Caenorhabditis elegans: one gene and its partners. The protein of the gene in region 1 purifies or fractionates together with the protein of each later gene. This does not show direct contact. Each region holds a gene or a part of one and is shown on either strand. Other genes may lie near its edges. The genes, in order: rsr-2, rbr-2, prp-8 and siah-1.

Region 1 (6,643 bases):
CGACACCATTTCTCGGCATCTAACAAAATTCCCAAAAAAAATTGGAAAAAGGCGACCGTGCCTCCCTACATCCTGTATTTTAAGGATTTAGGAACAACAAAACCGAAATATGCACCTGGTATCAGAGTGTCTCATTTCGGTTTGATCTACGTAGATCTACAAAAAATGCGGGAGAAAAGCCGCAGAGTTCGCAATTTTTTGTAGATCAAACCGTGATGGGACAACCTGCCACCACTTGAATATGATTTAAAGCGAGAACAACGGAAAAATGGACACTGCCGTAGTATTAAAATTGAATCTTCCAAGGAATCTTGCATTTTCCTAATGAGGAAATTCAAATCATGTACTCTTTTCCAGAATTTCCTGCCGTTCTCAGAAAAATATAATCAATGATTCGACTATTTCTGGCCGTGACATAGGAAAACCTCCGGGCGTAATTTTCATATAAATATGCCGTATTGTGACCGTAGAAAATCCCCGAGAATTGGAAAAACTGGGATATTTTGTTGAAAAAATGCGACACTTTTGCACAAAAATTCCAAAAAATGAGAATTTCTCATTTCCCCCCTCAAGTTCTCGCTCATTTGAACGAAGTAAGGCGAAAAACCTGTGTAGGTGACAGCGGCGGGCGGATCAAAAACCCCAATTTCGCGAATTGGATTGATTCTCGAATGGTTGTTATAAAAGGAGTCGTCGTCGTCGTGGAAAGAATGGATCGGCTGACTGTCTGAGACTGGCCACAAGATGGGGAAAAAAGTAGTGGCAAGGACGAAGGAACGGATAGAGATGGCGGAAAACGATTACGGTATCTTCTTCTCATTTTTCTTCAGCGACAAACACACCAAGGAATTTCGTTTTGGTACTGGAAATAGTACTCAAAAAACCAAAAAATCGAGTTCAACGAGAACCTATAATCCTTCAGTGCGTTGGTCTTTGTTGACCGTTTACACCCATATAGATTCCGAGAACATACGTCATACAATACGTTGCATAAGGATTTTCCAGTGAAATCCTAAGAAATTGGCTCTGGGAGTGGAAAAACTGTGAAGAAATAGGCATTTAGAATATAGATTCGCAAGAAATTCGATAAAAATCTCCATAGAAACGTCCAGAAGACCGATTTCAAAGAAATCATGGTTTTCTTCAAGCATCAGTATTTAAAAATATTGATGGGGAGAATTGAACTTTGAACAATTATTTTAGCAGAAAAACGGCGGGCTCTGCAATTGCGACAAATTTTAGGTGACATGATGGAAAAGCTTCACATTTCGTGCATTATAAGAAAATTGATCGGTTTCGGAACAACTCCGGCAACTTTATTGAGTAGTTTTGGAGCCAATTCGTGTCTAATAGCACATTGGGTAGAAATTTCTCCAAGAAAAACGAACAAACCGTAAGAAATTTACCAGATGTTCAGATATATTCTACAGACCTGCTACTAGAAAAAACAGCGAAACAGTGATGGAATCCAGCAAATATCAGAGGAAACAAGAATGAAGCAAAACAATAATGGAAAAGCGCGGGTGGATGCGAAAACACGTTTCCCACCAACGAAATATCGATTTTTCGCGGAGATTTCGAAACAATAGATGATAATTCTGCAATAAAAGCACATCGTGAAGCTGAAAATAAAGAAGAATGATTAAAAACAAGAGTCCATAAGCCGATCAATATTTGACGGGCGCGACACTTGGCTAAAAATCGATTTTTGGAGGTTTCAAGTGGGTCAAAATGATTTTTCTGATTACTCACGTGTTTCCGGGTATTTTTGTTGTATATTTGTGTAGAAAATTTACAAAAATTACAGTAAAATTGGCGAAAAATCGCTGAAAATCGAGGAAAAAGGCTCTTTGCTCGCTGCCGTCTCCGCACTGCTAAATCGGTTTTCGTGGTGAGACCTACGCGAGTGGCGACGCCATGCGCCTTTAAACACGATTTATTTTCGAATTGTTTTTCTACATCGTTTTCTCTTAATTTCAGCTGGGAAAATTGTTTTTAATCGATTTTTAATTGAAATTTTTGCATAAAATCCTTGAAATTTAATTTTTGTATGGGAAAATTTGCTTAAAATTGCCTAAAATCACCGAAAACGCCGTCTCTTTTCATATTTTTAATTATTTTCCAATTTCAGCCATGTACAATGGAATCGGACTTCAAACCGCCCGTGGATCGGGAACCAATGGATATGTGCAGTCGAATTTGTCGCATCTTATGCAAGCGAGAGTGAGTATTCCGGGGAAAATACTGATTTTTGCTGGAGATTTTCAGCGAAAAATCGAAATAAAAAACAAATTTAAAGCAAATTACTTGCTTTTCTCTATGCTAAACGCACTAAAAATCGTAAAATGATGCTAATTAATCATATTTTCAGCGAAAAATCGAGTACAACGGCGAAGATGACCTGCGCAAAATGGAAGCCGAGCTCAATCGAAAGCCCAACGAGGAAATCATGGATCACAACAGAAAACGTCAAATCGAGGTGAAATGCACCGAATTTGAGATGCTCCTAGAGGACAAGGGCCTCGACGACGAGGATATCGAGCGAAAAGTCGGCGAATATCGTAAAAATCTGCTGAAACAGCTCGAATCCGGCGAGCTTAACGTCGACGAGGAGCTGAGCACCAAGGAATCACACGCCAGACGTCGCGCCGCCGCGAATAATCGGGATAAAATGCGAAATGCGTTGGGATTGGGCGAGGATTACGTGCCGGGAAGCTCGATGGCCAAGATGAACAAGTCGGATGTGGTTGGAGCTGCGATGGAGTCGGAACTTCCACAAAAAGATGATAAGGAGAAGCTTCTCGAGACACTTCGTCTGCATAGAAAATCGAAGAAGAAGCAGGAATCCAGCAGTAGTAGTAGCAGTAGCAGTAGCTCATCAGAATCCTCCAGTGAAGACGAGAAGCATCGTAAGGATCGTAAGAAGAAGGAGAAGAAGCAGAAGCTGAAGGAGATGGAGAAACGTCGGGAGAAGCTTCGGCAGAAGGAACGGGAGCTTTTGGCGGTGTCGGATAAGGTGAAGAAAGAAGAACCAGCAGAGTCCAGTGATGAGGAAGACAGCCGGAAAGATCAGAGGAAGCCTCGGGAAGATCGCAGAAGATCGGTGGAGCGACAGGATCAACGGGAAGATCGTAGAGATCGCAGAAGATCCCCCGAGGATCCTCGAGAGCGTCGGAGATCCCCTGAAGATCGTACAGTTCGCAGAAGATCGCCGGAACGTCGCCGCCAGCAGCGATCCCCAAGTGTCGAGCGTCGGAAGTCACCACAACGCCGGGATGAGCGACGTCGGCGACACGATTCGTCGGAAAATGAGAGAAGATCCACTGCCACCGCGTCGAAAAAATCGAGAATGGTATGGAAATTCGAGATTTTTTGGCGAAAAATTGCGGAAAACTCGAGTTTTAATCGGGAAAATGCGAAAATTTTGAAATTTTGCATGAGAATAACGAAAATAACGGGGAAATTTTAATTTTTTCCTGAAAAATTACCAAAAAATGCAATTTTTTTTCAAAAAAACCGTAAAAATTTGGAGTTTTTGCCGGTCAAAACTGAGAAAATTTTTTAAAAATTTCTCGAAAAACTTTTAAAAAAAGTCAATTTTGAAGTTTTCACAGGAAAAACGAGAAAATTAAAATATTTTTACAATAAAAATACTGAAAAATTCAATTTTTCAGGAAAAAAAAAACTTATTTCAGCGGGTAAATCTGCAAAAATTAGGTTTTTTTCGTTGAAAAATGTGAAAATTTTAATATTTTTTTCGCCAAAAAATCCTAAAATTTATTCATTTTTCAGGACGAACTCGAAGTGAAACAAGAGCCACCAAGTGATTCTGAAGATTATATCGCAAAAACCAATTTGGCACCGATTCGTGTTGAAAAATCCGCCGAAAAAGTGGAAAAATCTCGAAAATCATCGTCAGAAAGCTCTTCGGGCTCCTCGGATTCTGACTCGTCGTCCGATTCATCGTCATCGTCGGATTCTTCTTCGGATTCGGAATAATTTTTTCTTGTGTTTTATTTATTTTTTTTTAATTTAAAAATCATTTAAATTTATGTTTTGAGCCGAAAAAATGGCTGGAAAATCTGGATTTAAAGGTTTTTTTTGGATTTTTTTTGTGTGAAAATCAAGAAAAAGTTGAAAATTTTCATTGATTTTTGCCTAAAAAACCACATTTTCTGGGTTTTCAAGTCAAATTTTATTAATTTTTTCGGAAAAAAAGTTGGAAATTAGTAAATTTTACATCAAATTTAATGTATTTTTCTCGGAAATTTTTGAGTTTTCTCAATTTTCAGTCAAATTTTCTGATAAAGCTAGATTTTCAGCTAATTTTTCTGGAAAGTCCTTCATTCTCAGTCAAATTTAAATAATTTTTCCGAAAAAAAGTTGGAAATTGGCAAATTTTGTGTCCATTTTATTGATTTTTCTCTGAAAATCCGGAAACATTTTTTTTTCATTCAAATTTTATCGATTTTTTCTTTAAAAAATCGGGATTTTAGGATAATTTTTCTAAAAATCCCTCGATTTTCAGTCAAATTTTAATAATTTTTCCGGAAAAAAAGTTGGAAATTAGCGAATTTTACGCCAAATTTAATGTATTTTCTCTAAAAATCCGGAAAAATAATTAAATTTCGTTCAAATTTAATCAATTTTTTTTTCTGAAAAATCACTATTTTCTGCTAATTTTTTTTTAGAAATTCTTTTCGATTTTCAGCCTAATTTTTCCGAAAAAAGCTCGAATTTCCCGAATTTTTAGTTTATTTTCAGACAAATTTGTTTGGAAATTCCAGACTTTCAGCCAGTTTTTTTTTCTGGAAATTTCCCGATTTTCCCGTCAAATTTAATCAATTTTTTCTGAAAAATCTAGATTTTCTGCTACTATTTTCCCCGTTCATTCCCGATCTTTTGTGCTCCAAAGAGCAAATTTCTTTATTTCTTTTTGCTACTTGTTTTCCCCCAAACGCTGTACATGAAGAATCTCCTGAAAACTGGGATTTTTCGTCTTTTTTTCTGTCTGAAGACAGTTGGAAATATCATGATTTCCCCCCCCCCCCCCTCCATCTCCGATGCTCAAAATTTTCAGACATTTCCAGTGAAATGGGCCACGTGGACCGCGAGGATCTTCTCAACGTAATTCGACATGAGCTTCGGCTCGAGGACGATGATGGTCCGGGACTTTGCTCTCGGCTTCTCCTGAATCCAGACAGGAAATGTCGTGCCGGAGGTCTTCCGCTGGATTTTAGACTGAAAAATGGGGATTTGATGGATGATGGGGATGCGGGATTTGATGATATTTATGAGGTTCGGCGGGGATTTTGGAAAAAATGTTTTCCGGAATTAAAAAAAAAAGCACTTTCAGCTTTTTCTGCCAAATATTTTATATATTTTTTGTTTAAAAAAAATATTTTTTCACTGAAAACGGTAAAAAAAATTAAAATAAATAAATTTTAAATTTTAAAAAAGCTTAAATTGAAAAATATTACAGTAAAAATTCAGAATTTTCAAAAAAAAACTATTTTTTTCCGGAATTTTCTGTTAAAAATTGCAGATTTTCAGCACTTTCTGCCAAAAATTTTCACGATTTTAAATTTTTTTCTCTCCAGAAAAGTGTTTTTTCCAATAAAATCGGTGAAATTTTATAAAAATTTCAGAAAAAAATTAAAAAAAAAACAATTTTTTTCCGGAATTTTTTTTTCTTTTTTTTTCATATTTTCAGCGCTCTTTGCCAAAAATCACAATTTTTATAATTTTTTCCAATAAAAAAGGTAAAAATTGTTGTAAAATTGCAGAAAAAAATAATTTAAAAAACTAATTTTTTTCCGGAATTAAAAAAAAATATTTCCAACATTTTCTGCCGAAAATTTCCAAAATTTTTATTTTTTTTTCGCTAAAAAATAGTTTTTTTCCAATAAAATCGGTAAAAAAATTCAAAAATTTTTTTTTTCGAAATTAAAAAAATATTTTATCAAAAAATGTTTCCCCGAATTAAAAAAAAACAAGTTTAAATTGCAAAATTATAAAACTTTCAAATTTCGCTCGAAATTTTGAAAAATTAAAAAAATTGGGTCCCACCACGAAAATCTCCGGGTTACTGTAGGCTTTCGTGGTGGGACCCAAAAAAAGTACAAAATAAGCTGAGCATAGGCAATATGGGGCTTATTTGAAAGCTCTCGGCAAGCCCAATACAGTGATAATAGTTAAAATAGTTTAATAAAAAAAAAATTTTTAATTCGAAAATTTTTTTTTCTCAATTCAAAAAAAAAAAAAAATTTCAAAAAACCTTCAGATTCCACTCTACGAGGAGCCCATCCACACCAGAACCCTAATCAACGACTCTCTAGCTCTCCGAACCGCCGAAAAAATCAAAGAAGAAGGCCGTCGGGATAATTTCTATACAGGACCACTCGATGAACTTTTCGTGAAACAGGAGGTCAATTGGCCGCCGAAAACTCCGATTTCCACTGAAAAATCCGCTATTGAGCGGTATTTGGAAGAAAATTCGGCGAATTTGAATAATCCGCTGGGAGAATATTCGAAATTCGCGGCCACCACCACAGACCCTTCCAGACAAATTGAGATTATTATTCCAATGTCTTGTGATGAGGAAATCGGGTTTAAAACGCTTAAAATCGAAGTTCTAACCACT
Region 2 (9,486 bases), on another chromosome or scaffold:
GTTCGCTTGTAACTTTCTCAAATATCATTTTTCACCATTAAATTATTTATGCTGTAAATAAGGATTTATCTTTATTATTATTCTTGCACTGTTTTGAGGTGCGTTTATAAATTATTTAGATACAAATGTGAAAAGGTTTTGACAGGTTGAGACACTATGGTAAGGGGTAATTGAAAAAACAAAACAAAACTTTTTAAAAGCTAGAATTTTACAGAGTTTTTCAGTTAAGACCGAACATGAGGCAAAGGGATATTAGAAATTGTAAAAAACAGTCAATGGTGGAAATGGATTAGGGTGAAAAAACCCGAAGCGAGATTCAACAGAGGAAACTAAAAAACTTTGGAGAGAGAAAGGTTGCGCGATGAAAAGAAGAAGAATGCAATGAAAGGAAAGAAGCTGTGGTAAAGTTTGGTGGTTTTGAAATACGGTACATTTTCTGAATTTCAGGAGAAAGCTTATAGTGTTGAGAACGATTAAAGTAAAGAGGAAAATGATGGAGATGAAAATCCAGAGTAGCTGGAATTACAGAGAATAAAGAGAGTGGCTAGATATGACAGTAATCTGATGAAAATGGTTAGGGTTGATGTGAAAAGATGAACGTATTATATAAATTTAATTAGAAAATATGATACTGGTGAAGCAATATATAATCTGGTTCAATCGGTGGAAACACTCGAAGTTGGAGAGTCCGCATGATCCAGACAGGATGAGCAACGGTACTCGTGCATGTCATTAATTTCTGAAAAAAAATTGTTAAATTAGCAAATACGCAAAATTGAACAAATATGGTAGCCGGTCTCGACACGGCAATTTTTTTTACTTGCAAAAAAGTTGTGTGCCTTTAAAGAGTAAATAAAAACGCGGAAGTTTTTAAAATTTTTTAAAGTTTTACGACAATGAAATCCCACAGAAACGAGAGTTGGTAACTACAGTATACTTTTTGAAGGCGCACACCCGTTTGTGTTTCACAAAAATTGTCGTGTCGAGACCGGGTACCGTATTTTTGGCACAAAGTTTTTTTTTGAGATCAGGTCTGTCACAAAACAAAGGTTCGTTTTTTTTTCTCCTTACAATTAAATTTTTTTTCCAAAAAACCACAAAACCCGATCTTAATTTACCTCTCAGAGTGAATCCAAGACAAATCACATGGAACCAGTTTTTGCAGCCTGCTTCACACATCACCCAGTTCACTGAGTCTCCATATGGCTTCAAACAGGCGCGAGCTTGACACGACTTGAATTCAGACTCGTCTTCGTAATATTCACTGGGTGATGCTTGACTTTGACGTTTGCGTGATTTTTTCGACGTCTCTTTGTGTGAAACACTTGGCCTTTTGCGTTTAGCTGTGATTTTTGGATCGAAGAGTGATACCGATGGTTTTGAACGAACCGGGCGATTTTTGAGTTCTAGTGCGGCGCTGAAAAAATTAAAAATAAAATTAATACATATAATGTGTACAAACCTTGACTGTTTTTGAAGATATTCCATATAAAATTCTGAAATCAGCTCGCGTGCCTTCGGAAGACCATTGGGATTCAGAATTTCACACGATAGCCAATCGAATAAGGCAATTTTACAAATATCGTCGCTGGATTCTCCTGATTTCCGTTTATTAGCAGCTTCCATCAAATTTTGAGTGATTCCACGAGTTTTTTGTATTAGATTTCGAACAAGATGTGTTTCCAAACATCCAGAAGGTGTTCCATTCAGAGCAGTTGTTACATCATCAATGACTGGACGTTGTCCCCGTAGACATCGAACACATAAAAAGCATCCTTCTGGAAGTTTTTCAAGGAACGGTGACCACTCGCAACATCGAACATGAAACTCTGAATCGCACATTATGCATGTCAGTGTTGATTCGGAATCATCTGATTTGTTGAATCCAAGACATGAGCATGCTTCAAGACCACGAGCTGAATTTGCTTGTTTCACCTTTTCAAAAATTCTCATTTGCATTTCACGTAGCGATGATTGATGATGCACAATTTGATCTAATGACTCGAATTCTTTCATTTGATGCCATTCATCAGATGGATGTACTGCGCCTCCTTGAAAATATAATGGTATCGTTTGTCCTTCAGCAAGTGGAGTTAAATCATCGCGTTCGGAGAGAATCTGGAAAATTCAAGTTTAAGGCAAATTAGATCGAAGCTAATGTCTATGCTACTTCCTGATTGGATTAATGTTACCCAAATATACGGTCACCGGTCTCGACACGAAATTTTTTCGTTTAATTTAAAAAGGTGCGCGCCTTTAAAGATACTGTAATTTCAAATTTTTGGTTCTGCGAAATTTTCCTTGATTTTTCTTTTTTTTTCTTAGTATTTGTCTCATGTTTTTAATTATTTCAACATAGTTTTTTATTAAATAAATAAATTTATAACGAAAACTATGAAAAATCTATGAAAATTCCGCAGTAACGAAATTATGAAGCTACAGTAATCTTTAAAGGCGCACATTCGTTTGTATTTAACTAAAATTGTCGTGTCGAGACCGGGTACCGTATTTTTTGCGAAAAATCGTCAAATTTCACGAATCTCACTCACTTCAAAAAGATTGTGATACGCATTATTTGGCTTGAACAGAATAGCTATCCTCTGAGTAAATGCATTCATTGTGCTGATCATATCCAAAATCCCGAGATGCTCTTCGGAACCGTTTAGACATTTTGAAGTTTCGAATGCTTTACTGATTTCGGCCGCCTTCGATAGTGTAATTTCAACATTGACAATTTTCTGCAGTTGTGTTTTTAAATCAAATTCTGATAGCACGGGAATTGCGGCATCTATCATTGACTTGATTTTGGCAACATGAATGATCTCATAGCGAACCATGTTAATATCTTAAAAATTATTTTGTAAGAATTACTAATGCATTAAATAACAAACATTTTTCATAGAACCAATCAGTTTCTCTAAGGCTTTGCCAAATTGATTGAAGCTGATCAAGTGCTGGATTCTCACAGAAATTGTTTGCAATGACCTCGAGTGTATTGGCGTCACGGAGCATTTGTTGAAGTTCAAAGACGAGTTTAGAAGTACCATCTGTGGGATTTCGTGGACTATCACGAATCAATCTGAAACATATAATTGAATTTTTGAATTAAAGGGGTATAGAGTATTTGGAAATATTTTTAAGGTCTCATCATGAAATTCGGTCGTTTTGGGCCGAGCCCATTCGAGGAAAAATCCACAAACACAAATTTCCTTTTAAGAGAAAAAATATTTTTAAAATCTTACGATAAAATATCACTGGATGCATATCGAAGCTTATACTCAAAATCAATATCTTTCTCCATATCGGGAGTTGCCTTCCATGTAGTAACTTTTCTTGCTCTATCCGACCAATCCTTCATTTGAATAACTTTTCGCAACTCATCGATTTCTTCCAATTTAATATCATATTCATCTCCCTCTTCAATAATCTTCTCGATTTCTTCTTTTGAGTATTCTTGTTCTCGATAGATAGCATCTTTTGCTCTGTTTCTCCACATTTCAACTTGTTCCATCCATTTCTCAAGTTTATCAATAATAACAGTCAAATTGCAATCCATGGCTTGCATTTGTTCAATCAATGACCGTACTCCCTCGGTGTCTGTACGAGTGTCGGCTCTCTGACATCGGGTTTTTGTTCGCGTTCGTACTTTCTTAAAGAGCAATTGATTTGCTTTTTCAATGGCACTCTTGGCTGTATGACGAATTGTTATCAATTTATGAACTTGATCTGTCTGTGGATACTTGTTTTGTTTGGCAGAATCTATAAACTCTTCAATTCTCTCGAGTTTTGGTTTTCCTTCTTCTTCAAGCATCTCATCCGACTCTTCTTTCCATCCATTGTAGTTAACCGTACGCTTTCCAAGTTCATCACACATATTGTTCAATTGATCCAACTCGAATCTGTACTGATATCTGTAGTCTTTCGTTGTACACGAATTGCAAAGATGATCATGATGTTCAACACAAGTCATTTTCTTGTGTTTGTTACAAACCAATGCACACATGAAGAGAGTCGTCTTACAAAAACGACACGATCTTTGTTCATCTGGAATCTTTTCGAACATCACTTGCTGCATTTGGCGATTGGAAACTCCGAGGCGAGCGAGAAGTTCTCTCAACATTTTTTGTTTTTCATATATTCTTATCAGTTCTTCATGTGTTGCTAAACTCATCGAAATTCCAAGTTTATCCATTGCTTCAACCATTTTAAAGAGAAGCTCATCATGAGAAAATACAAGATATCTTCGTACATTTGAGTAAGACTCAACGCATTCTCGACCTTTTGATAGCCAATCAATTGGAGCGAAATTGACAGCTTCCGCAAAGTTGAGTCCCTCATTGAAACCAGCATGATAAGCACGTGGGAATGTAATGACGAATTCACCAGCATTCTGGTGAACTGAATGAATTGGAACTCCCAATGAACGAAGAAGATGAGGATTTGCAGCTGTAGTCATATGATGGAATAGATCTCTTTGTCTTCCAGTTAATCCAGGTGCTATTTTCTTCAATGCATCTTCAAACTTTTCAGCATCTTCTCCACCAACACCGTACCAAATTTTCCGTTCTCCAAAATGATTATAGTTAACAGAATACGTCCAATGATCTTCGGTGTGCCAGCAGAACGTCGAGAAGCACATACCAACATAGACCCACGGTACCATCATTCCAGAAATTCCAGTATTAAAATGTGAGAGAACAGATTCTCGAAGTACAGGCATATTGTTCAGATTCCATGCATGTGAAGCGTATTGCTGCTTCAGCTTCAGATCTGGGCCAGTGTGCTTATCTTCTTTTCGAGGAAATCCACTTCCTACTCGACTCGTAATCAAGTCGGCACCGTATTTGACAGAAACTGGATTTTCGTGTGAAATTACATTCTTCCAGAATGATCGTTCCACAGCATCACACGACACTTGTGATACATCTTTTACACCGAAATAATCACATTTCCATTTGTTGGCAAATTCAGTGAATGAGTTCAGATTGTATTCTGTGTCCGCATCATAAAATCCCCAGTCTAATCCGATTTTTGCATCCTCTGATTCAATGCACTTTGGACATCTCCACTCGCCTTCTGGTACTTCATCGAGTACTGGATCACAACAATATGTATGACGACCATTATTGCATCCATCAATATCGCAAAGAAGTAGTAGATCTTCATCCTTTCCTTCATTACAAGCAACGCAGAATACTTGATCCATTGGATCTTCATCATCATCATCGTCTCCTTCGGCTTTCTTCTTATTTTCTGTAATTTGTGAAAATAAATTTAAAAAATTTAAATTTAAAAAACGAACTTCTTCCTCTGGTTGAATTCTTCTTTGAAGATGTTCCAAGAGTCTTTCTTGAAGATGAAGCCTTCTTATTTTTAGATCTCCGTCGACCACTTTGCATCGACACTGGACACTCATCTTCCCCTCCTTCAGTAGTTTTATCATTTGGAACTTCTATTTCTGTCCGCATAGTTCCGTGGTGATGTTGATATCTATGAAATTCATTCGTTTTTAATTAGAATAATGGGGGAAATTATTAATAACAAAATTAAAAATTTTACTATTTATCGGTTTTAACATTTTTTCATGGTTCTAAAAAACAAAAACATGGGTACATAAGAAAAATTTAAAATGCATATAATTTCAAAAAAATCCATCTACATTATGTTTTCTTAACTGATTTGTAGATTTTTATTTATTTAAATTTCTTAATTACTCACTTATGCTTTAATTCTTCCATTTCATCATCACTTTCATCATCATTTTTCATCGCTTTTTCTTTCAAATTTCGATTAAATGGTTCAATGTGCAAATTATAATGTGATCGAATCAAATTTATGAAAGCCGACGGAACACCGCGAGCCATTTGCTCCTTTGGAAGGTATTCGCGGGCAACGTCTCTCCATTTTTCATCTTCATTCACTTCTTCACATCCTCCAAAGTTTTGAACTATACGATGTAATCGATACAAATCGACAATATTTCCATCTCGATCCACTGGAAACTCAAAAGTTAGACCAGAATATCGATTGAAATTGATTAATCGGTCAATAAATGTGTGTTTCTCTTTGACAATTGCCTCCACTTCATTCAGTTTTTGAGTTCGGGGACGAAATGTAAAGGCTTCTTTGTCGATAGCAAACGGTGGTTTGAAATTCTGCAAAAAAAGAGAGTTGATGCTTCTCGATTCGTTTTTTGAGGGAAAAATCAAAAATTTTCAGATAAAATTGCACTTTTCAAGTGGTGACCATTCTTTTAGTAAACTGAAAATTTTCTAATATTTAGTATTTAATTGAAGGGAGTAGTAGAAGTTTTTAAACTACTACAAACATTGTTTCGCTTTTTTTCAGACTTTTCAAAAACGATTAAAAACTTGTTAAACGTCAGACGTACAATTTTCCGAATAAATAACTTACCGCCGGCGGAACAATTTTAACAACTCCAAATTTTTCGGCCTCGTGTCGTATTTTGGCAACATACTCGATTGGATCTGAGAACTCTTCTTCTGTCGGGTAGTAAATTGGAGCCATTGGAGGTCGTACGAATTTCTGAAAACTATGAAAGCTTATTCACCTTATGTATGTCTTAGTAATCAAACCTTATAGAATTGATCGTACATTTCCATTTTGCTTCCATGATTCTTAGATCTTGAATTTCCGATGGATGCTTTCTTCCGCGGAGAAGTGCTCGTCGACGGTGCTGACGGCGTCGAGATACTGTTCTCTTGACGACGTGCACGCATTTTTCAGTTTGGCTTATAGCTTCATGAGATCTGTAAATTTCATTTTTGTTTGACTTTAATATTAATTGAAATTAAAAGCTTTGAGAAGAAGAACATTTTAAGTACCGACGAGAAATTTCCATGTGATGAAACAAGATGCATCACGAGTGTTATGATAGACGTCATAGAAACCCGGAAATGAAAATTAGCTTATACTCCTTTAAAATTGGCTTTTAAGCTTTTTCTTATTAAGCTTTTGATTTGAACTTAATATTGTATAAATAATTAAGCTGAAAAATGACTCATATTTAAATATATATATTTCTCCAATTTTTGAGGTCGAGCAGCTTTTCAAAGTTTAGACAAGGATCTTTGGTAGAGTTTTAAATGTAGGTCAAGACACGTAAGGCATCGTATAGTAACTCAAATCATTGAAAACTCCATCTCTCTGAATCTTTTTGATGTGTCACCTAAAATGCATTGAGAGACTGGTATTCTTTGACCACTTTGCAGTAGGTCGGTGTCCTTTTCGTCAGAAATTGCGTGCGGTAAAGATAAGCGGAGAAACAGAAAAAAATATAGATAAAATCGAAAAACCGAGAGGAAATAGCCCCCAGCGCCCACCAGGGTCGGCCCACGAAAATCGAGGAAAGTGCGCTCCGCCGAACATTACTCTCGAGTGTCCACTCTCGTCGTCTTGTCACTCCTCTGTTTGCATGCTATTCGCTAGCAATAATCTCTCGGTCTCCTGCCCAATCACACTTTATTCATGTTATGTGCGCGACGCGTTCTCGCATGTGCCTCCTAGTAATACGTGAATTTTTGCACTAACTTTTTTTTGAGGCCAGCAGCTGAGGAAAGATGGGCGCACACAAAGAAAACGAAGAGAAAGCAGGAAGACGCATGTAAAATGAACACAGACTGAGAGAAAAAGAGAACATGGAATTATGGCTCCGAGAGCCAGCATTTTTAATTGAAGATTTGAGACTGTGTTTGTTTACTACGGTTTTAAAGGGAGGCGTATCAATGCGGAATGGTCTCGCCACGCACTGCGAACTCATGAAAAAATTGGCGTGTGCGCCTTTAAGATGACTGTAGAGATTTTTCTGGCATGTCTAATTACATAAAATACAGAAAATTGGGAAAAGAACAATCGAAAATGAAGAAAAGGGAGAAACGAGAAAATTGGAGATTTGCCAGCAAACCCTCTACAGTAATCTTAAAGGCGCACATACCAGATTTCTGAAAAAAAAATCGCAGAGCGTGGCGAGACCATTCCGCATAAACTCGCCACTTTAAAATCATAGAAGTTGTAAAAAGTACACAGTAATATGTAGAAACTGATTTCGCCGAATTGTGAATCTCCATAGTTTCTAAGGAATGTGAATATTATTTTTCAAAACTAAATCAAACTCATTAAAAAGTTATTATGCGCCCGTTTTGAAATAAACGATGGTTGCGCGCGAGAGAATGAGAAGACATAGATTATAACTGCAAAAGCAGAATCAGCTGTCTGCGTGTGAAGAAGCTGATTAAAAACGAAAGGGCGAAAAAGACTTGTTTCACACGACTACACACATTCTTACGACAAATAGACGAAACGGAGGGAGAATCAGAAGTTTATGACCGAACGCTGAAGACGTGTAATCACAGACGTGGTTAGAAAGTGAGGCTGAACGCGGAACTTAAAGCGAAAATGTGTAACATATTGAACAGTGCACGATTTTCAGATGTTCAGAGCATTCGTTTGACAGTTAACAATTTTTCTAAGATAAATCGTTAATAAAATATATAACTTTTTCACACAAAGATTACTGTATTCCGAGAAGATATCAGTGTCCATCTGACTGAATTTTTCAAAAAACTTCTTCTAAATATACACTAACAGCTCTCACCGCGAACCGGAGGACCTTAAAATCGCTGCCGCTCCACCAAAAAAACATACGAATAAGCAGCATATGACTACAGTAACCCATTCCTGGACATATATAACTTTTCTTCTCCTTTTTGAAGATTTATCTCTTAGCTACTCAGACTTTCCTGAATAATTTTCAAGAATTCCCAGTCAATTTCGAGCAAAGAAAAAGATTTCGAGGGATGAATGCCGAGAAAATAAATAGAGATTATTGCAATATAACAGTAAATGAGCTACTGTAAGTTAAAATGTTGAATTTCTAGCCGAATTTTTCTGAAATGGAAATGCTATACGAGCAGGCGTTTTCGCATATTCAGAATCTAATCAGAAAGTGTTCGTGCAAAAACAAAAAGAACAGCTGTCGGGTTGCCATGGAGTTTAACCATACACACCAGAGAATGTTGGCTTCAACTCTAAAATAGACAATTATGTTTAGTTTATGAGGGTTTAATATTGATATACATATCCAATAGTAAAATATGAAAAGAGTCAATAAAATATATAGTTTTATAGTTTAGTACCTTAATTACAAGAAAAACCAGAATGTGAAAATGAGGCATAAAATACAAGTTTGAAATCTTTGATAAAATCACTCGAGTTTGAGTCAATTTGACTAAAATAAGCATTTAGAAACACGAAAAGTATTGTTAGATCATTTCTTGTTCTCTGAACTTCTTCTCATCGACAAGTGGAAGAATTTGGTAGACAGCGGTTCTCTCAGTTTCTTGCTTCTTTCTATAATCGACATACTCCATTGCGTAGGCAATAATGAGCATTGAAACAATAGTGACAATAGCGACAGTTGGATATCCAGTCTCCACAGACATGTATGAAAGAGAACACATAAACATT
Region 3 (6,235 bases), on another chromosome or scaffold:
GCATACACTGACTCTTTGATTATTAGCATCGAGAGCATAAATTTGAAATTCTGTCATGATGGGCTCCTCTCCTCTCTGAAAAAGGTTTTTATATTTTATATATAGAAAATATGAATGAAACTTACGGCTAATCCAACTTGTCTCAAGAAAAACGATACATTATTCACATCTTCATCACGCTTTCCATTTGGATACACATGAAGTTCCCAGCAAACTGTTGGCGCATCAGGGACACTAAACATTCTTGAAATAAGATTCGAACCGTTTTTGATTAGTTTCATCAATTTCTCAAATTGTTCGATTTTCCATTCCAATTTTGTAGAAAGTGCCGTCACACGCGTTGCTTGCTTCGAAACTACTTCTAGACGGCGAGGTTGTGGAGGAAGATCGTCAGCTGAAAATGAAAATAATGTTAAACTCTCAAATTAATTGAGCTATTCTCACTAACCTCTGGAACTGATTGTGCGATTAATCTGCTCCGTGGATGACCACGAGGAACGTGAAGACATATTATATTGCGAATAAGTTTTACCTCTGTTGATAAGTTGAGCGAGCAAGAGGTTATTCTGAAAATAAATTCAATTAAAAGAAAGCTATTCCCGATAATCTCGATAAAAATAAAAGAAAATGATTAAATTCAAAAAGACACAACAACTGGGAAACTCCGCGAATGAATTATTTACGAAAAGCAGGAGTTCTTTGTTAGAGTTACGAAATAAGCAATACGATTTTCGAAACCGATCTACGAAAAATTACACATATTAGAAAAGTATTAAAATTACGAAATCGCCGTTTGATATTCGAAAATACTACCTTTTTTTTAAGTTGGACAGTTTTTAAAGTTTTCAAAAGGAGATCTTCATGAACTCGTCTATGAGGAATAAATGTGGTACATTTCAATATAAAATGGGTAACAATGACAGTTTGGAAATAATTTCCTTTTCGAAAAATTGATATTTGTACAAAATTCGGAACAGTTTCGAAAAAATGATATTACCCCAGTCACATGACTTGAAAAAGGAAAAGTTGCAATTCAGAAGCTTTACTCAGATTCTGAGGGCAATAGAAAATGCCAATAAGTTTTCGAAAAATCAATAAATTTTTTCGGGCAGATGTCTTTCCTCGGCGGCGGCGAACGCGAACGCAAATAATGGCTGCCAAGAAGAGGCGGGTCTATTGATCGAAACATTACGCCGAAGAGTGTTTGAATTACCGGGCACCGTAACCTCAAACACCTGCAGATCTAAGTACGACGCTCCACTCGACACAATTGCGCGCGTTGTTTAGATTTAAGGAAATTTAAATTTTACTTTCGAAAATAGAAATTATCGGTTTTTATTCATGATTTTCTGGTTCAGTCTGAATAAATTCCGTTTTTTAATGTAAATTTTGTGCGCTATTAACTGTAATGCACAATTCCAACTATCAATTCATGTGATCTTACAGTCTAAACAAAGACAAATCTCTCTTTCCAGTTTCTCTACAGTAATACTTATTTTTCCTTGCTCGTCAACTCATTGATTAGTTTTAATTCTATTTTTATATAGTGTGTTATAGGTATGGCCAACTACGGCGGTCATCCCCAAACTGAACCACATGCTATCCCGGATTCAATTCTGGAAGAAAAGTCTCGAAAATGGAAACAACTTCAAGGAAAGCGGTATTCGGAGAAAAAGAAGTTTGGAATGTCCGATACGCAGAAAGAAGAAATGCCACCTGAGCACGTCCGAAAAGTTATCAGAGATCATGGTGATATGACTTCTCGCAAATATCGTCATGATAAAAGAGTCTACCTCGGTGCTTTGAAATATATGCCACATGCCGTTTTGAAGCTACTGGAGAACATGCCGATGCCCTGGGAACAAATCAGAGATGTAAAAGTTCTGTATCACATCACCGGTGCGATCACTTTTGTCAACGACATTCCGCGTGTCATCGAGCCGGTCTACATGGCACAATGGGGAACGATGTGGATTATGATGAGAAGAGAAAAACGTGATCGTCGTCATTTCAAGCGAATGAGATTCCCTCCATTTGACGATGAAGAACCGCCTCTCGATTATGCTGATAATATTCTGGATGTCGAGCCTTTAGAGCCAATTCAAATGGAACTAGATCCAGAAGAAGACGGAGCTGTTGCTGAATGGTTCTACGATCACAAGCCTCTTGCAACAACTCGATTTGTGAACGGCCCAACGTACAGAAAATGGGCATTCAGTATTCCACAGATGTCCACATTGTATCGTCTTGCAAATCAGCTGCTTACCGATTTAGTAGATGATAACTACTTCTACTTGTTTGACATGAAAAGTTTCTTCACTGCTAAAGCACTCAACGTTGCAATTCCAGGAGGCCCGAAGTTCGAACCATTGGTAAAAGATTTACATACGTAAGTGAAAAGCTTCCAGTTGTGTTATGACGCATACTATTTTATTATTTTCAGTGATGAAGACTGGAACGAGTTCAATGATATCAATAAAGTTATTATTCGAGCTCCAATTCGTACCGAGTACAGAATTGCATTCCCATTCATGTACAACAATCTGATCAGCTCGCTGCCTGTTCAAGTTTCATGGTATCATACTCCTTCAGTTGTATTTATCAAAACTGAAGACCCAGATCTTCCCGCATTCTACTATGATCCATTGATCAATCCAATCGTTCTCAGCAACTTGAAAGCAGTGAGTTATTTACAAGTTTCAGCAATGTTTTAAAATAAAATGCGGATATTATAAACAGATTCCTATAAATTTACAAGGTAGTCAGTAGCCGAAATTCGCAATATAAATTTTCCATTAAAGGCGAGAAATCATCCTTTTTGTCGGTGATATCTAGAAATAAAACTGGAGACAATTCGTATTGTATGTCAAAACATTTTCAGACTGAAGAAAATCTACCAGAAGGTGAAGAGGAAGACGAGTGGGAGCTGCCTGAAGATGTTCGACCCATTTTTGAAGACGTTCCACTCTACACCGATAACACGGCTAATGGTTTAGCACTTCTATGGGCCCCTCGGCCATTCAATCTTCGATCGGGAAGAACGAGAAGAGCAGTGGATGTACCACTTGTCAAATCGTGGTATAGAGAACATTGTCCAGCAGGTTAGTTTTGTTTCTATTTTTTTCGTTTCGTTTCTCGCATACTAAGCTGAAATAATATATTCAATTTTTCAGGAATGCCCGTGAAAGTTCGTGTTTCTTATCAGAAACTGCTCAAGGTGTTTGTTCTGAACGCTCTCAAACATCGTCCACCGAAGCCCCAGAAGCGTCGTTATCTGTTCCGTTCCTTCAAGGCAACAAAATTCTTCCAAACAACCACCCTGGATTGGGTAGAAGCTGGATTGCAAGTTCTTCGTCAAGGATACAACATGCTCAATTTGCTCATTCACCGAAAGAATCTCAACTATCTTCATCTTGATTACAACTTCAATTTGAAACCAGTTAAAACATTGACAACAAAGGAAAGAAAGAAATCTCGTTTCGGAAATGCATTCCATTTGTGCAGAGAAATCCTTCGTCTCACAAAACTTGTTGTTGATGCCCATGTTCAGTATCGTTTGAACAACGTCGATGCGTACCAACTTGCAGATGGTCTACAATATATCTTTGCTCACGTCGGTCAACTGACCGGAATGTATCGTTACAAGTACAAGCTCATGAGACAAGTCAGAATGTGCAAGGATCTCAAGCATCTCATCTACTATCGTTTCAACACTGGGCCGGTTGGTAAAGGACCTGGATGTGGTTTTTGGGCTCCGGGATGGAGAGTTTGGTTGTTCTTCTTGCGTGGAATCACACCACTGCTCGAGAGATGGCTTGGAAATCTGTTGTCTCGACAATTCGAAGGAAGACATTCAAAGGGAGTGGCCAAGACAGTCACCAAGCAAAGAGTTGAATCTCATTTCGATCTTGAATTACGGTAAGCTTTAAATGGCAAGAAAACGAATTTATTTATTAATATTTTCAGTGCTGCTGTCATGCATGACATTCTGGATATGATGCCGGACGGAATCAAACAAAATAAGGCTCGTGTTATTCTTCAGCATTTGTCAGAGGCGTGGAGATGTTGGAAGGCTAATATTCCATGGAAGGTTCCCGGACTGCCAACTCCAGTTGAAAATATGATTCTACGTTATGTGAAAGCAAAGGCTGATTGGTGGACTAATTCGGCACATTACAACAGAGAACGTGTAAGACGAGGAGCGACAGTAGACAAAACTGTGTGCAAGAAGAACTTGGGTAGATTGACAAGATTATACCTGAAATCAGAGCAAGAAAGACAACACAATTACTTGAAGGACGGACCATATATCTCTGCAGAAGAAGCTGTTGCAATTTACACGACTACAGTACATTGGCTGGAATCAAGAAGATTTTCTCCGATTCCTTTCCCACCACTTTCTTACAAACACGACACAAAACTTCTTATTTTGGCTCTTGAAAGACTGAAGGAAAGTTACAGTGTGAAGAATAGATTGAATCAATCCCAAAGAGAAGAACTGGCTTTAATTGAACAGGCTTATGATAATCCTCACGAAGCTTTGTCTCGTATCAAGAGACACATGCTCACGCAGCGTGCATTCAAAGAAGTCGGAATTGAGTTTATGGATCTCTACACTCATCTTATTCCAGTCTACGATATCGAGCCTCTTGAGAAAGTCACTGACGCTTACCTCGATCAATACCTCTGGTATGAAGCAGACAAGAGAAGATTGTTCCCGGCATGGGTGAAACCAGGAGATACTGAACCACCACCGCTTCTTACATACAAATGGTGTCAAGGTCTCAACAATCTTCAAGATGTTTGGGAGACAAGTGAAGGAGAGTGTAATGTCATCATGGAAACAAAATTGGAGAAAATTGCTGAAAAAATGGATTTGACACTTCTCAATAGATTGCTCAGATTGATTGTGGATCACAATATTGCCGATTACATGACTTCGAAGAACAACGTTCTCATCAACTATAAGGATATGAACCACACCAATTCTTTCGGAATTATTCGTGGTCTACAATTTGCTTCGTTTATTGTTCAATTCTATGGATTAGTTCTTGATCTTCTTGTTCTTGGACTTCGACGAGCTTCCGAAATTGCCGGTCCGCCCCAATGTCCAAACGAGTTCTTGCAATTCCAGGATGTTGCCACAGAAATTGGTCACCCTATTCGTCTCTACTGCCGGTACATCGACCGAGTTTGGATCATGTTCCGTTTCAGTGCTGATGAAGCACGTGATTTGATTCAAAGATACTTGACAGAGCATCCAGATCCGAATAATGAGAATATTGTCGGTTATAACAACAAAAAGTGTTGGCCAAGAGACGCTAGAATGAGATTGATGAAACATGATGTCAATTTGGGTCGTGCTGTCTTCTGGGATATCAAGGTAAATTTTATTTTTAATTATTTTTTTAAAATTTTAACACGAGGTATAAGAAAGCGAGCAATTATTCGATGGCTGCTCGTTGATAATTCCTCGAAAACTAATGGAAATTAAGCGATTATCCGCCTCATGAACAGATCCATCATTTAACTTGAATGATAAGGTCTACTTGACAGGCGTACATTAAAATGTAGAATTTACTATTTTGATTTTTAAATATTTGTTATTTTACAGAACCGTCTCCCACGTTCCATCACAACTGTCGAGTGGGAAAATTCATTCGTATCAGTGTACAGTAAGGATAACCCGAACATGTTGTTCGACATGTCCGGATTCGAGTGTCGTATTCTACCAAAGTGTCGTACGGCTAATGAAGAGTTTGTTCATCGTGATGGTGTATGGAATCTTCAAAACGAAGTGACAAAGGAAAGAACTGCTCAGTGCTTCTTGAAGGTCGATGAGGAGTCATTGTCCAAATTCCATAACAGAATTCGTCAAATTTTGATGTCTTCTGGATCTACAACGTTCACCAAAATTGTCAACAAATGGAATACAGCATTGATCGGATTGATGACCTACTTCAGAGAAGCTGTTGTGAACACTCAAGAACTTTTGGATTTATTGGTGAAATGTGAGAATAAAATTCAAACGAGAATCAAGATTGGACTCAACTCAAAAATGCCCTCAAGATTCCCTCCAGTTGTTTTCTATACGCCAAAAGAAATCGGAGGACTTGGAATGCTATCTATGGGACACGTCTTGATCCCACAGTCTGATCTTCGATGGATGCAACAAACGGAAGCTGGAGGTGTCACTCACTTCCGTTCCGGAATGAGTCACGATGAAGACCAATTG
Region 4 (7,029 bases), on another chromosome or scaffold:
TGGTTTCTCTGGAGATAAGGAGAAATCTGAGTAGAATTCGCTGGGAGAGATGGGATGTTGTATAAATTTCGTGCATTTTTTTGGTTTGAAATTTGAAATAAAACTTTATGGAATTATGAAAACCTGGTTTTTGTAAAGCAGAAAATTCTGAAATAAAAGAAATGTTTGACTAAAAAATAATTCTTTTTTTTTCTGATTTAGTTCCGAGTTTTCTAAAATTCTATTGATAGAAATGTGAAATGTTTCTTTTTTGTCTTTTCTTCAAATTTTCAGACTAAATTTTAACGCAATTTCTGTATTTCGACAGTTAAATTTTGCAAAATTTCGGAATTTTGAAATTAATTTCCAAATTGTAAATTTTAGAGATTTTTTTTGGTATTTTAATTGTTCATTTTAATTAATTTTAATGTTTTTGAAATAAAATCAAAATTATAAAAATTATTTAAAATTTTATTTGCACTCTGTTATAAATTTTGAAAATACTCAAATTGTGAAAAATTGTTATGATGCAAATTTTCCAAATAAAAAAAACTGAGAATGAATTAAATTTCTTTAATTTTGAAAAAAAAAATGTTTTTTCTCCAAAATTTCAATTAACCATCAAAAAAAGTTCAAAAAAATTTATTCAACATGATTAAAGTATAAAATCGTAAAAATTGGAAAGAAAAATGTGGCTATTACGCAAGTGGTTCAAGAGACAAAAAAAAAGTACAAAATATCGATAAAACAACACAGGAAAGCTCGTAAAATGTGTAAATCGAGTGTAAAATACAAAAAAAAAGAAATTTATAAACCAAAAAAAATTGAAAAAAAATCCGTAGTGTTCTGTGGTTATCCATTCCGAGTCATGGAAGGATATGCTATACAGATAATTAATATTTTGAGGCGGGGGCGGGGGGGGGGGGGGGGTATTCTACATTATAAAAAAAAATTAGAACAAAATATAGTTTTTTTTTCAGAAAAAAAATCCAAAAAAAAAATTTTTTTAATTTTTAAATTTTTTAAAATGTTCTGATTGTAAGGGGATTTTCAACTGAATTTTTTAAGCTTTTCATCACATTTTTGAAGAAAAAAATCAAAAATAATTTTATTACGTTTACACTGTGCATATCTAGTCGTACTCGAGATCAGAATTTTCCAACTCATTTGGGTGGCGCCTGAAAAAAAATCAGTTATTAGTTTTTTTTTTTTTTAATTAAATAGATTAAAATTGGCTTATTGAAAAAATGTGTTTTTTTTGTAATTTTTAAATATTTTCAAACATTTAAACTTGAATTTAAAGTTTTTAAATACAATTCTCACCTCTGTGGAGTATCTATTCGGCTAATAGTGACGTTGATTCCAAGGTTTCCGTTTTCTGAAAAAAAAAGTTGATTTTTGTTGAGGGTAACTTTTAAAGTTTATATTCCGGAACTGACAAAAATTTTGCTACTAAAGGTCGATGCACCATATCTCGCCCAACTTTAAAAACTTTTCAAAAAAACCTCTGCGGATTTCGGTTTTTATTTTTATTTTTTAATAGACACTTTGTTAATATCTTCAAAAATTGACCGAGTTTATCAATCTTAGAAATTTTTGGTCGATGCACCATGTTCAAAGGAAACTTAATTTTTTTGGATTTCTGGTTCTATCGAAAAAGTTCCAACTCACAAAATATTTGTTCTCGTGTTTTATATAGTTTAGCGGTTACATTTTTGTTAGCATTCACACACTTAACCGGGGTATCGGCTGTTAAAACTATTTCGGTCGATGCACCATGATGCACTCAACTATTCCAGCTGTATCCCTTGTCTAACAAAGTTACCAAAAAAATTGTCAACTCACAAAAAAAGCTGTTTTTGCTCAGTTTTAACAAAAATTGAAAGCTCAGTTTTAACAAAAATTGGTAATTTCCGATTAAGATAAAAGCAAAAGTCAATGCTCACCTGCAAAAAGCTGTGCAGCATTTGAATCGAACGCTAGGCAATCCGACTGTTGAATGGCCACTACCACCCCCTCGTGGATGCTTCTCGGTGTGGCTTCCCATGACATTCTCCGGCGGCTCGCCGATAGCTCAAGCCGGTACACAAAGTTATCAGCTTCCTTCTTCGAGCCAATCAGCTGAACGACTGCGTAGAACATCTGAGTTGGCTGAGCTGGATCGTACTTTTCCTGCTTCTCGAGCACCAACATAAAATTATAGTCAAAGCAGCTCTGCATCATAACCCAGTCAACTGCTCCAGGAAGATTGATGTCAGTGGCCAGGAAGACGATATCCTCGCCTTGAAGCGTCGTGATGCTCTTGTGGATCTTCTTCAAATGCTCCATCACATCCGACAAGCCTCCCTGCCACTTGCAGCTAGCTCCAGGGCACGGGCAGCAGTAGGGTCGGAATTCGCAGAGCTCCTCGTGCTCGGTCTTATCAGCGTGATGGAAGTTCAGGGGGCAGCCGGACGTAGAGAATTTGCATGGAAAGCGGACGGTGTTGGCGATCTTCTCGAGGCCCAGGTTGCGGACAGAAGCTGTAAGATTGAAGGTTTAGTCTTGAAATTTGAGATATACTCTGAAACTTTGAAGATCCGTAGATCCTTGATTCGTTAGCTACATTAGAGAAACAACACAGCTAAAATGCTTAGGCGCTCGACTGAGACAGATCGATCAACCAGAAAGGATCTTAGTCTTCTATCATATCAGCTCTGCTCAAGCTGTGGTAATTTTTTCAGCTTTGACTAAACTCTTCTAGTCACGCAATTTTCAAATTTCAACTTCAAAACTCACGAGTTGGACCCCGACAAGTCGGGCAGCACTGAAGCTTTGGTCTGCAGTTCGAGCAGACAAGATGTCCGGATGAGCACTGCATGTATGGTGGCAGCATGTACTCCAGGCATACCGGGCACTCAAACACCGACAAGATCTCTGCACTGCTGTCGTCGGTGGCTCCACCGCCGCCGATTGGAATATGTGGTGCGACGCTTTGGATTCCTTGCGCGGTCGTCGTTGTGTTGTGCGGTACTGGAAAATTTTACATTTTAGCGTTACAGTTCTGAAAATCAAGAAAAACTCACTACTTCCCGGGGGATTACTCTGAACTCTGGCCATCGTTTTGCCAAGCACTGCGGTTCCAGAGATTGTTGACACTGCAGACGGTGGCGATGCCGACATCCGAGGTGTCAATCCGATTTGACATTGCTGTTGTGTGATGCCTGGCGGGACCGGTGGAGGGTTGCCTGGAAAGTAAAATTTAATGGTGCTAGTTCTGGGCTCCAAGATATAGTTTCACACTTACTTCGCTCATTGAGCCAATTTTCAATACACTCAATAATAAGCGCATTCACTACGCAGCAGCAAGAACGCATGTGGGGGAAAATGCGATCATCATGAAGCGAGCGAGCTCTCCGAGAGAGTTTTCAGCAGGTATATAAAAACTAGGGAGGGGCTCCGAAACACCGCTTTACGATGCATATGTCGATTATAACACAGAGATAGAATAGCGAGTTTTCTCTCGGGGGTGGGAGTAAAGAGGAAATGTTGAGTGACTTTAATTGGTGTCGTTTTGGATGTGGGGGGGGGGACTAATGACTGGTGAGCACGCATGGTTGGAGAAAGCAGGGGATTTGGGCTCCGGCTTAAAGGTTTGGCTGGCTGAAGGTAGTGGTGTGTCGGAAAAATCACGTGGTGTCAGAAAAAACCCCTGCCATCACGGTTTGATCTACAAAAAACGCGGACTTTTTTTGCGTAAAACTTTCTTAAGCCAAATAAAATGAGAACTATGCGTCTCAACTCGTGCATTTTTTGTAGATCTACGTAGATCAAACCGAAATAGGACATTCTGGCACCAAGTGAAATGCTGAAACAGTGATCTTTTAATCATGTCTCAATTAATAATACTCAATAGAAATTCAAAAGCCGACTCTCTTGATTCCGTTGGACAATTAAGTCCTTTCTTTAATTTTGGGCCGTTTCTAAGTTTCGGGGATGAGCAGGCTTTCAAACAAGACTCAAAGTTTTCAAAAAAGTCTCACCATTTGAGTGATTAACCATATCTTCGACTAAAGAATTGCTAGTCTGATGTCTGGATAGATGATTCGCTTGCGGAGCCGAATCGCTACTATTATTATCGTCCTCCTCAAAGATGAGCTGTGTACGACGAAGAGACTCGATCACGTCCTGATAGTCTCCTCCTCCTCCACCACCGTTCCGATTACTCATCAGCGAAGGCAGTCGAGATGACGAGGACGACGATGTTGGAGGTGGTGGGTGGTTCGGTGTCTGCGGATGCCGCCGTCTTCCCGTCGTCTCTGTAATTGGTGAGTTGGTGATAACGAATTGTGAGTGTTTTGTTGTTGTCACGTGAGAAATAGTCGCTGGAGGTCAAATTGTGAGGAATTACGAAGAGAGTAAAGTTTTTAGAATAGGTTTGTTGAATCAGGAGTGGCACGGGGTCTCACATGGTCCCATTACGATTTGATCTACAAAAAATGCGGGAATTTTTCGCCCAAAAAATGTGACGTCAGCACATTGTTAACCATTTGAAATCAGTTGGGAACTCTTCGTCTCAACTCCCGCATAGTTTGTAGATCTACGTAGATCAAACCGCAATGAGCCACTTTGACACCACGTGGCAATTTTTTTCCGGCAAATTGCCGATTTGCCGTTTGCCGGAAATTTTTAGAGGGATTTTTTAATAAGACGGAAGCACTTGAAACAGTGTCATTTTGAAAGTTTTTTTTTCCCGTTTTCTTTAGATACATTCATTGAACTTGCTTACTTTTCAAAATAGATGTAGGAACATTCATAGGATGCGTACAATTTTGCCAATTTAAATTAAATTTCTAAAATTTCCAGAAAAAAATGTGGAAAACCACAATTTGCAGAAAAATGTTTGTGAAAATTTTTTGCCGGTTTGCAGTTTTGTCGGAAATGTTCATTTTCGGTAAATTACCGGGAAAGTTGTGCAAAAAAAACAACTGAGGCTCAAATTTTTTAATTAAAGATTTACTAGGAAATTTTGAAAATTTTATATTAAAATTTGAAAATAATCGCCTAAAATCAATGCAATCAAGAACAAAAGATGAGAGATGGGCTAGGAAAATCAATAAGATAAGTAAGGGATAAGGTCCGATTTTCATGAACTTGAATACCTAGTATAGATACTAGATTCAGTAAAACGTGATTGCAAACTATTTGAATAAGTGACTTTCTAAAAATGGAAATTTGAAACATTCAAAAAAAAATGTAATACATTCACAAAAATCACTGAAAAGTTAAATTATGGTTATCTTAAACGAAATAGTGATGAAATCCATGAAGAAAGTGGTAATTTTTTCGGGAAGTATCAATTTTAAGGTTCTATTGTCCACACAGACACTTTATAAATCAAGTCGCAAGCAGAGAACAACAACAAAATCTGGCAAAAGAAAACAACTTTACTATTCGCTTTTTTTTAGCTTTCTCTAAATAATATTTTCAAAACCTAACAAAAGGATTAAAACCCTCAAATTCGACGATTACTTTGCATAAATACACAATAGAAATACGAATAAGAGAGTGAATAAAACGAAGAAAAGAGGCGAAAGGAAGAAAAATATGAAATAAAACGCGTTCTGTGTGCGTACTCTCTCTCTCTCTTTCTCTCTTTCACATCTTTTCACCAACGAATGACTGACCGGGATAGTGTGGGTGGTGGAAGAGACGACAGAGAGACCGACGACGAGATGTGTGGGCTTGTAAGAGAGTCTCTGTGTTTCTCTACCAGCTGACATGCGAATGAGAATGAATCAAATCGATTTTTGAAGAGAGAGAGAGAGAGAGAGAGAGAGACGGTTGGAGGGAAGGGATGGTGAGAGCGATTTTATATGAAAGGCGTATCAGGCACCAATAACCTTTTTAAAGTAAAATTTCAAAAATTGATGGTCATGCACTGTTGGTCATATGGAAAGATCAGCTGTTAGGGTGACTGGTACCCGGGTCAGGTGCTTGTGCTCTCGGTGGTCGATGAGAGGCAGCATAGGGAATGTAGCAATAATAATAAAAAAATAAAGTGACGTTTTATTGAAATTCATATAAGGAAATGTAAGGAAATTATCTGAAGGAAATAATCTCAATAAGGCACACGATTATTTGTTGCTACAACTAGCATTTCAGTAGCATTGGAGATAGCTTTGCAAGCTTTAGGTATATTGTGTTGGTATCAGGCTGTCCCATATCGGTTTGATCTACAAAAAAATGCGGAAATTTTTAGCCAAGAAATATGTGACGTCAGCAGGCTCTTCACCATGCAAAATCAGTTTGGAAGTCTTCGTCTAAATTCCTGCAATTCTCATAGATCAAACCGATATGGGACACTCTGGCACCGCGTGGGTATTATTCAAAGTTGAGGCAGCGTCTGTGGGTTTCTTGCCCTAACAAGGGAAGGCTCTGAACTCGTTATCGGACTTCATTACGCCACTATATACATTCGATAGAGAATAGTTACAGATGATCACTCCAAAAAAATTTATCTTCAGAGCAGGTTCGACCAAGTTACGACATTTTGAAAGTGCCAAAATACCCCTTTTTAAAAATTCCACGAAAGCCCAATAACGTTTTAGTGAAATTTGGTCAAATGATTGAAAAATTATAGGGGTTTCCTTTTGTACCTCTGCATCAGAGGTATCAAAAAATTTCTCCAATGTTTATAACGGCACGTTAAACATTGTACTAGTTGCCGATTTTAAGATTAGCAAAGCTTCTGATAAGTTATCACTGTTTGATTGTTTGTTATATATGTATTACTTATTATTCATATGTTATCCAAAAATTGAGAGATTTTTCAAAGTTATAGTTTCAAATTTGGAAAGCTAGGGGTAAAGTTTTAGTTTTTTTAAAAGCACATATTTTGGAGTGAATCTAAATTTCAAAGTCAATTGACGAATGGTTCGAGTTTAACTAATTCGTTGTTGGCGCCGCGGACCGGTTTCGCGGCAGTGATGACACTGGAAGCAAAAAACTAAACAAAAAGTTTGTGTACACACAGACACACGCAATTGTTGTCTACAACCCTTTTTTCCT

What was found.
Region 2: the proteins of rsr-2 (region 1) and rbr-2 purify together in Caenorhabditis elegans (affinity purification with mass spectrometry, with the first as the bait; one large-scale study listed by BioGRID). This does not show direct contact.
Region 3: the proteins of rsr-2 (region 1) and prp-8 purify together in Caenorhabditis elegans (affinity purification with mass spectrometry, with the first as the bait; one large-scale study listed by BioGRID). This does not show direct contact.
Region 4: the proteins of rsr-2 (region 1) and siah-1 purify together in Caenorhabditis elegans (affinity purification with mass spectrometry, with the first as the bait; one large-scale study listed by BioGRID). This does not show direct contact.

The regions. Positions count from the first base shown.
Region 1 is NC_003280.10:12,223,225-12,229,867, forward strand, and holds rsr-2 (SRRM2 protein homolog rsr-2), read left to right. Parts: upstream 1-2,131; 5' UTR 2,132-2,133; coding exon 2,134-2,223; intron 2,224-2,371; coding exon 2,372-3,352; intron 3,353-3,792; coding exon 3,793-3,999; 3' UTR 4,000-4,984; downstream 4,985-6,643. Other genes in the region: sinh-1 (Stress-activated map kinase-interacting protein 1 homolog), read left to right, coding at 5,095-5,298, 6,284-6,643. UniProt on the Caenorhabditis elegans protein: Plays a role in pre-mRNA splicing as component of the spliceosome. Involved in modulating global transcription, probably acting via interaction with RNA polymerase II.
Region 2 is NC_003282.8:10,917,361-10,926,846, reverse strand, and holds rbr-2 (Lysine-specific demethylase rbr-2), read right to left. Parts: upstream 6,778-9,486; 5' UTR 6,741-6,777; coding exon 6,597-6,740; intron 6,554-6,596; coding exon of another isoform or gene 6,547-6,553; coding exon 6,415-6,546; intron 6,156-6,414; coding exon 5,719-6,155; intron 5,491-5,718; coding exon 5,303-5,490; intron 5,254-5,302; coding exon 3,243-5,253; intron 3,080-3,242; coding exon 2,892-3,079; intron 2,846-2,891; coding exon 2,550-2,845; intron 2,119-2,549; coding exon 1,463-2,118; intron 1,418-1,462; coding exon 1,119-1,417; intron 740-1,118; coding exon 657-739; 3' UTR 30-656; downstream 1-29. Other genes in the region: ZK593.3 (High-affinity choline transporter 1-like), read right to left, coding at 9,282-9,486. UniProt on the Caenorhabditis elegans protein: Histone demethylase that specifically demethylates 'Lys-4' of histone H3, thereby playing a central role in histone code. Does not demethylate histone H3 'Lys-9', H3 'Lys-27', H3 'Lys-36', H3 'Lys-79' or H4 'Lys-20'.
Region 3 is NC_003281.10:8,162,818-8,169,052, forward strand, and holds the start of prp-8 (Pre-mRNA-splicing factor 8 homolog), read left to right. Parts: upstream 1-1,555; 5' UTR 1,556-1,559; coding exon 1,560-2,389; intron 2,390-2,443; coding exon 2,444-2,681; intron 2,682-2,722; exon of another isoform or gene 2,723-2,855; intron 2,856-2,881; coding exon 2,882-3,101; intron 3,102-3,173; coding exon 3,174-3,918; intron 3,919-3,966; coding exon 3,967-5,383; intron 5,384-5,396; exon of another isoform or gene 5,397-5,566; intron 5,567-5,614; coding exon 5,615-6,235. Other genes in the region: bath-42 (BTB and MATH domain-containing protein 42), read right to left, coding at 1-75, 126-394, 449-509. UniProt on the Caenorhabditis elegans protein: Functions as a scaffold that mediates the ordered assembly of spliceosomal proteins and snRNAs. Required for the assembly of the U4/U6-U5 tri-snRNP complex.
Region 4 is NC_003282.8:3,741,296-3,748,324, reverse strand, and holds siah-1 (E3 ubiquitin-protein ligase siah-1), read right to left. Parts: upstream 4,278-7,029; 5' UTR 4,189-4,277; coding exon 4,002-4,188; intron 3,207-4,001; coding exon 3,045-3,206; intron 2,992-3,044; coding exon 2,758-2,991; intron 2,502-2,757; coding exon 1,926-2,501; intron 1,358-1,925; coding exon 1,303-1,357; intron 1,158-1,302; coding exon 1,112-1,157; 3' UTR 974-1,111; downstream 1-973. Other genes in the region: ugt-45 (glucuronosyltransferase), read left to right, coding at 1-34.